Tribolium castaneum: one gene and its partner. The protein of the gene in region 2 purifies or fractionates together with the protein of the main gene of each other region. This does not show direct contact. Links are inferred from orthologs where the notes say so. Each region holds a gene or a part of one and is shown on either strand. Other genes may lie near its edges. The genes, in order: Caf1-105 and chromobox protein homolog 3.

The links.
Region 1: the proteins of chromobox protein homolog 3 (region 2) and Caf1-105 purify together in Homo sapiens (affinity purification with mass spectrometry; 3 studies listed by BioGRID and IntAct, with this or other methods). This does not show direct contact. The link is inferred for Tribolium castaneum from reciprocal best matches to the Homo sapiens genes CBX3 and CHAF1B.

What each region holds. Positions count from the first base shown.
Region 1 is NC_087397.1:4,716,481-4,720,756, forward strand, and holds Caf1-105 (chromatin assembly factor 1 subunit B), read left to right. Parts: upstream 1-1,211; 5' UTR 1,212-1,335; coding exon 1,336-1,458; intron 1,459-1,505; coding exon 1,506-1,886; intron 1,887-1,939; coding exon 1,940-2,253; intron 2,254-2,368; coding exon 2,369-3,362; 3' UTR 3,363-3,453; downstream 3,454-4,276. Other genes in the region: shtd (anaphase-promoting complex subunit 1), read right to left, coding at 1-371, 421-781, 829-852; Prx4 (peroxiredoxin-2), read right to left, coding at 3,477-3,524, 3,574-3,739, 3,790-4,029, 4,078-4,195, 4,244-4,276. UniProt on the Homo sapiens protein: Acts as a component of the histone chaperone complex chromatin assembly factor 1 (CAF-1), which assembles histone octamers onto DNA during replication and repair.
Region 2 is NC_087401.1:16,339,527-16,342,722, reverse strand, and holds chromobox protein homolog 3, read right to left. Parts: upstream 1,578-3,196; 5' UTR 1,421-1,577; intron 1,369-1,420; 5' UTR 1,363-1,368; coding exon 835-1,362; 3' UTR 624-834; downstream 1-623. Other genes in the region: macrophage migration inhibitory factor homolog, read left to right, coding at 155-262, 310-482, 527-605; beag (protein Red), read left to right, coding at 2,075-2,780.

The DNA of each region.
Region 1 (4,276 bases), on a different chromosome or scaffold from region 2:
CGTATTCCACATTTTGCTAATTTGGAACGGGATAGCAGTGACGAAATCTTCACCTTTTTGGGTGAAAACGTGAATATTATGGGCATTTATGATGCAAATTGCAGGAACCGGCACGCCTTTAGTTTCCTCTTCTTTGTTAGAAAAAGGAAAAGCGTCGGTTTCATATCTGGGGTGCTCGCAGTGGAAAGTGCACCAAGCGGCGTGTTTTATAGGGAGAAGGGAAGTGTAAGCACAAATTGTTTTTCTACCGTTGTCTAAATTGTCACAATTGTTTAGCCCTCGGGACCACACTGCCGTGTGTCCCTTGACATAGAGTTCATCCTCCATAAAACTGACGTGACTTTTGGCAAAAGAACCCTCATAGCTTGGCCCTTGGGAATCAAAAAAAAAATAAAAATGCAAAAAATTGGTCCCACGTACCCCCATGAGCCAAGCTTTCATGCTTGAGTGAAAATTTCGAAAAACTCTCAGATATTCTCTTGCTAGTCTTTTGTGAATGATCGCAGCTTTGATAGCTGTAAGACTTGTCATTTTTACAGTCCTGATTCACACTAACTTTAGTACAAGAACTGTCTTTTGTCCCGTAGCACCAACTTGCCGCAGACTCAAACAAGGGGGTTTTCCGCAAAATCCACCATTCACTGTCTTTTTTCTCTTTTATTGAAACCTTTTCAAATTTATCAAGGAGTAGGTCCTCAGTTTGGCCTAAATTTTTTTGCGGGGGCACCCCATTGGGGCCTGGGTGTTTCAATGTTTGCTGCCGTCCACTTGGAACAAACTCCTGAAAAGTTTACGCAAAATATTGACTGAGTGAGAGCACCCACGAACCTGTGGATCTGAGGCAGCAATCATTGTTTCTACTTTCTCATCCAGATTTGCTAAATTTCAATAATGAATCAGAATGGTAACCAACATAAATCACGACTATTTTTCATTAAAAAACGCTTTTTTTAAACCGAATCGGCTCCTCTAACCTTCACAAACTTAACAGACAGCGCTGGCAATCTAAATGAAAGAAACCTAAATTTACTAGAATTTACAGACTTTACTTGAGTATTTAATTGTTAAATAGAGTATTTGCTTAATTTTTTATTAATTTGTGTTAATTTATATTCGTTCACGAAAAGGTTTGTAATTTAATTCAATTCATTCAATAGAATTGCTCATTTTTATACAAAAAAATTACATTTGTAAAAACAAAATCCCCAACGAGGAGACTAGTAAATTGGCGCCAAATGGTCGTAATATTTTTATTGGGTTGTTGTTTTGTGTAAAAAACGCCTTGTTTGTGTCTGCTACTATTCGTATTTCACAATTTAAGCCGCTAAACGTAGAATGAAGTGTTCGATACCAGAAATATCATGGCACAACCGGGAGCCCGTCTTGAGTGTTCATATTCAACCCGTTTTGGAGAAATTTTATAGGTTAGCAACTGGTGGTGCCGATTGTCATGTTTTGGTAAGCTTCGGTTTAAAAAAATTAAGTCTTGTGACGCTGTGCTTCAGATTTGGCAATTAACAATAAACGAAAACGGTAGTGTTAAAATCGAGGCTTTGTCTGATCTAACACGACACCAAAGAGCTGTGAATTCAGTTCGGTGGTCACCAGGGGGGCAGCAGCTCGCGACAGCTGATGACGACGCAAATATCATTATTTGGCAACTTAAAACCGATAATATCCCTCTACTGGAAGGAGAAACGAACGATAAAGAGACATGGATAGTGCATAAAGTAATGCGGGGGCACAAGGAAGACATTTACGACTTGTGTTGGTCACCCGATGGCTCAAAACTTCTATCGGGGTCTATAGACAACACTGCCATTTTGTGGGATTTTCAGAAAGGCAAAAATGAACAGATTTTAACCGACCACAAGGGATTTGTCCAAGTAAATTATTGCTAAATAAAAATATAGTGTTTGTAATTTTTCGAAATTTGAAGGGCGTGTCGTGGGATCCCAGAGGTCAGTTTTTGGCCACAATCAGTACCGACCGCATCTGCCGCATTTTTGAAAATACCGGTAAACAGGTGAAGGCTAGAATGCACAAGGGTCTATTACCGGTGCCGGAAGATCATTATCTTCACAACAAAGAAGTGAAATATTTTCATGATGACACGTTCAAGTCATTTTTCAGACGCTTAGATTTTTCACCTGATGGTTCTCTCCTGGCTGTTCCTTCAGGTCGCATTGAAATCGAGGATTGTAAAAAAATTCTCAACTGTACCTTGCTTTTTGCAGTAGATAACTGGGGAAGGTAAGTAATAGCGTAATTTTATTGAGCTGTTAAAGTTAATTTTGTATTATTTCAAATTTACACGCCAGAATAAAAATTATTAATCGGCTTCATTAATTAGTTAATTTTTTTTCAGTCCAATTTGTTTGTTTCCATCTGGAAAACAGTGCAGTACAGTTGTCCGTTTCTGCCCAATTCTCTTTGAACTGCATGAAGACGGACCTGATCCGCTAGTGTCTTTGCCTTATAGAATGGTTGTTGCGGTTGGGAGTGACCATGACGTAATTTTATACGACACTCAACAGTTGATGCCTTTTGCGTATTTCAAAGACATCCACTACACGAGATTAACAGATCTGACTTGGTCTAAAGACGGCCAGTTGTTAATAGCGTCCTCAACGGATGGTTTTTGCGCTCTTATCACCTTTGAGCCGAATGAATTAGGAGTGGAGTACATTAAAGAAGAAGAAGCTGAGGAAAGTGTTTTGGAGATTAGTGGATGTGAGGAATTACCGGATCACGATGAGACTGTTGAAGTTAACAACCCGAAAAAACTAAATTTGTTGGAACAATGGGCAATCAAAACGCCCAAAAAGGCAAAAACTGAAGGAGACACAAGTAAAAGAAAACCCGACGAACCGAACCGATTAACCCCAAAACGAATAAAACCGATTCCAGTAAAAGATGACGAAAATCAGAAAAACACGCCTGCCACCATCAAAAGAAAAGAACTTCCCTCGCCTAAAGCTAGCCCTCTTCTAAATTTCCTCAAACCTGTGTCGAAGGAAAAAATTGAATCGCCCGTTTCAACCCCTAAAATATCCACAGTTGATTTGATTTTAGACGAAGCAGAGGCTCGAGATGGCTGGCGCTGTGACAAAGATGAGACTGTTGAAAATAAACAAACAGAACCCAAATTAGGCGATGACGAATACACGGAAGAATTCAGTTTGCATTTAGAAGACACGAATAGTAAAAGTTGTGTTCAAGAAAACGACCAAAAAGAAGCCACTGAAAATTGTGTTCCTAAAGTTGAAGCAGACAAAGCAGCGACAAACACAGAAGACGTGAAACCCAAGAGACGAATTCCCTTAATCACGTTGTCAAGTCCCAAAACTACGAAAAAATAAAGTTTGTTACGTATTGTAAATTTTATTTATGGTTCGCTTTTTCGTTCTTTTTATTTATCAAGTGATGTCAATAAAAAAAGTATTATTTTGATGATGCATTTGATTTTGTGATGATTAGTGTTTCTCAAAATATTTCTTCTTCTCAATTGGATTAGGTATTATCTGAAATAAAGCAATATTAGACTGAGAATTTTCTTGCTGAATATTTTACTGTATCCTGGCCGGGTTTCCACTCCGCAGGACACACTTCTCCATGTTTATCGGTGTATTGGAAGGCTTGAACCAGTCTTAAAGTTTCATCAACACTTCTGCCAACCGGCAAATCATTCATAGTGATTTGCCTTAGCACTCCTTTAGTGTCTATAATAAATAAGCCCCTAAAACCAGAAACAAATTACAGAGTAATTATTTTAACCAAAAGTAAAACCTAAGAGTGTGTCCTAAATCCTCCAAAAACACGCCATATGACTTGGATATGCTATGATTCAAGTCCGACAAAAGCGGAATTTTGACTTTCCCAAGCCCTCCTTCTTTCCTAGGCGTGTTAATCCAAGCAAGATGAGTAAAATGCGAATCAACTGAACAGGCAACAACCTCCGTATTAATATCGCGAAATTCTTGGATCCGGTCACTGAACGCCAGAATTTCAGTGGGGCACACAAAAGTACTGAATAAAAAACAACAATCAAACGAAAAAACAATTCGCCCAACTTACAAATCAAGGGGGTAAAAAAAGAACACTAAATACTTCCCCAAAAAATCGGTGGATTTCAACTGAACAAACTCCCCGTCGACCACAGCCGTGCTCTCCCAAAAGGGGGCCGGTTTGGAGACTTAAAACCACGATTAAAACTGGAATAACGGTCCTGTTAACCACTTACTGACAGCTTGCGTCCACTGTAACTTATGCTCAG
Region 2 (3,196 bases):
GTGCCCCTATTTTGAATTCCAAACTCAAAAATTCAAATTTCCTCAACAATACACTTTTTGTATAAATTCCCGCCCCCCCCTGGGAGGTCACCCAGAGGTCAATTCTGACGTCCATTTCTAGGTTATAAAAACACCGCCAATTTTTTTCCGCAAAATGCCTCACTTTCGCGTTGAGACAAACGTGCCCCAGAGCAAAATCCCGTCCGATTTGCCTCAGAAATTGTGCCAAGTTGTTTCAAATTCCTTATCAAAGCCACTCAATGTAAGTTTGAGGTTACGTCAACTTTGAATAACTCAATTTTTTTCAAGTATTGTGTGGCTACTGTGATCGGAGACGTCCACATGTCTTGGGGGGGCACCAGTGAGCCCGCCGCTCAAGCCACTCTGATGAGCATTGGCGCCTTGGGCGTGGAACCAAACAAAAAGCACGCCAAGGCTTTGTACGAAGTTGTGTGCAAGGAATTGGGGGTTTCGAAGGACCGGTAATTGGGTCTTTGGTGTGGTTTTGTACTTTTTGTGTTTCTAGGATGTATATTCACTTCGTGAACGCGCCGACTAGCGATGTGGGGTACAATGGGACCACTTTTCATGATATTTTCGGGTGATAAGTGATAACGAAGCAATGGTGTTTTGTTTTATTTCAAATAAAAAAAATTATTACAATTTTCTATTGATTAAGTCAAGAAACTAAACTTACAGCTAGGGAGTCAGATTCAAATAATAATAATACGGGAAGATTCTAAACGCCTACTTAGTCCAAATGATTTTTTCGTCTAATAATAGTATATAATTCGTGTTGAATATGTACATTATGAATATCCTTACAACTAGCCTTCACTCGGCTTTATTTTCGTCATTTGTGGGCGAATGCCAAGTGAGACGCTCTTCATAGAACCTAATGACAACTTGGGGGCACTTAATATTCGCCTGTTTCGCGGGCACTAAGTCCGCCTCATCTGTACCCTCCCACTTCATGAGGAACATCAACTGCCCGGAACTATCCGTGGCCCCGATTATTTTTTCGGGCTCTAGCCCCCTATCAAACCCGTGCACTTTCTTCTCGTCGTTCTTCCTCTTGGCCCCCTTCATGTCGGGCGTCGGCGTGCTGTTCATCTTGCGCTTCTTGCTGCGCTCCTTGTCTTTGTTGGCCCTTTCGGCCTCGAAAGCCGCAATCAGCCCGGGACAGTCCAGGTTCTCCTCGGGCTCCCATGTGTTGTCCTTGTCGTCGTAACCGATCCATTTCAAGTAGTATTCCTTAATACCGGCCGCATTTATCCGACTGTCGATTATTTTCTCCACAACGTACTCTTCGTTGGCCTCTTGGTCTGCGGGGGAAGGACTCGTCCTCTTGCTTTTGCTCATTGTGCCCTGATGGAGAAAACACACTGTACACACCGGGGGGCGCACGGGGCACACTTACGCCGAATTTTACTCAACTTTGGAGGGATTTCGTGCAAGAAATTAAAATAACTTCAAAAGCCGCAAAACAGACGCTTTGCTCACAATTTTCAAACAAACATGGCGGAGGTGCGCTCCGCCGGTAACAAGCAGGTTCCTACACCCCTATTTACTAATTTAATGAATTAAAAGCCCCAAATAGTGATATTTCCGGTGAATTATTTATTATTCAAGCCGTTTGCGTTTATTCACCGTAACGTAAAGCCCCCCCAGTATGAAAAAAACGGTGGTTAGGCGCCCCAACTGAATCTGCACTTTTTGGTTTGAAACTTTGATAAATTTTGTTTGCAAAAAAAAATACGTGTAGGTTTGCAAAAATACTTAATTAAATAATTACTAAGTGTTAGTTGTGGGACAGGGTTGGAAAGTTGTTTTTTTTTTAATTTTTTCTACGTGTTATCGACAAGAATTTGCTGTTTTTCCTTGATTATTTTGGTTAATTATTCGCGATAGTAATTGTAGTAAATGCAAAAAGCTTGTTTTTAGCATTTTGGGGCTATTTGGTCTCATTTGAAGTGGTTCACTGTAATTTTTTTCTGGCTAGGAGGAAGCAAGGTTATGTGATTGACAGTTGACAGTTCTAGTTGCAACATTCAGGCCCAGTTTTTGGTTAAAAATGCCTTCGGACGCGGCCCCCGGGTCGCAGCGGCTGACCAACGACGACTTCCGCAAGTTGTTGATGACCCCGCGGTCGGCGCCCGCGAACGCGCCCGCCCCCGGCTCCATCCGGGAGGCGATGGCCAACTCGTCGACGATGCCGCCCCCCAAAGACGACAAGAACGAGGCGCGACGCAAGAAGAAGAGCTACTACGCCAAGTTGAAGAAGCAGGAGGACAATAAGATGGCAGAACTGGCGGAGAAGTACCGAGACAGGGCCAGTGAGCGCCGCCAGGGGGTGAACCCCGACTACCAGAGCGACGACCCGGTGGCCACGGCTCAGGCCTATCGTGCCGTGGCGCCTGATCTGAAGTCGGGGTTCGATGCGGCCGAGAGGCGCCGACAGATGATTCAAGAGAGCAAGTTCTTGGGGGGCGATATGGAGCATACGCATTTGGTGAAGGGGCTGGATTATGCCCTGTTGCAGAAGGTGAGGAGCGAGATACAGCACATCGAGCAGGAGCAGGAGCAGGAGTTGGAGAGGCTGGCGGCCAAGACGGAGGAGAAGGAGAAGAAGGAGGTGCAGAAGAAGGATGAGGATGAGCTTAAGTTTAAGACGAAGATTGGGAAGTCGATTTACCACACGATTTGTGCGCTGAAGAGTCGGCATATTGAACGGTCGGAGATTTTTGTGCCCGGACGCATGGCCTATGTGATTGATTTGGGTATAGATAAATTTTTTTCTTATCAATTTTTACACATAAACTACGTATTATAGATTATGTCTGAAATTTTCAGCTGTTCAAGCCTGTAATTCTTATAGACATCTTCTTAAGTTTCGTTTAAAACATTTTCAGATATACCTTTTTATTGTTTCTGTACTTTTTTTTAGATTCTTTTCAAAATCACAAAATTTTTGTGATTTTTTCTTAAAGAGGTCTTTAGATCTTAAATCAGCAAAATTTTCGTTTAGATTCTCCTCTCTTGCTTATAAGAATTCTTCTCTAGTTTCTTTTATAATATTTCTTATTTATTTTTTAGCATTGTTTTTGTATTTTCCTTTAGATTTTTTTAAAGATTTTTGTGATTCTTTCTTAAAGAGGTCTTTAGATTTTAAATCAGCAAAATTTTTCTTTAAATT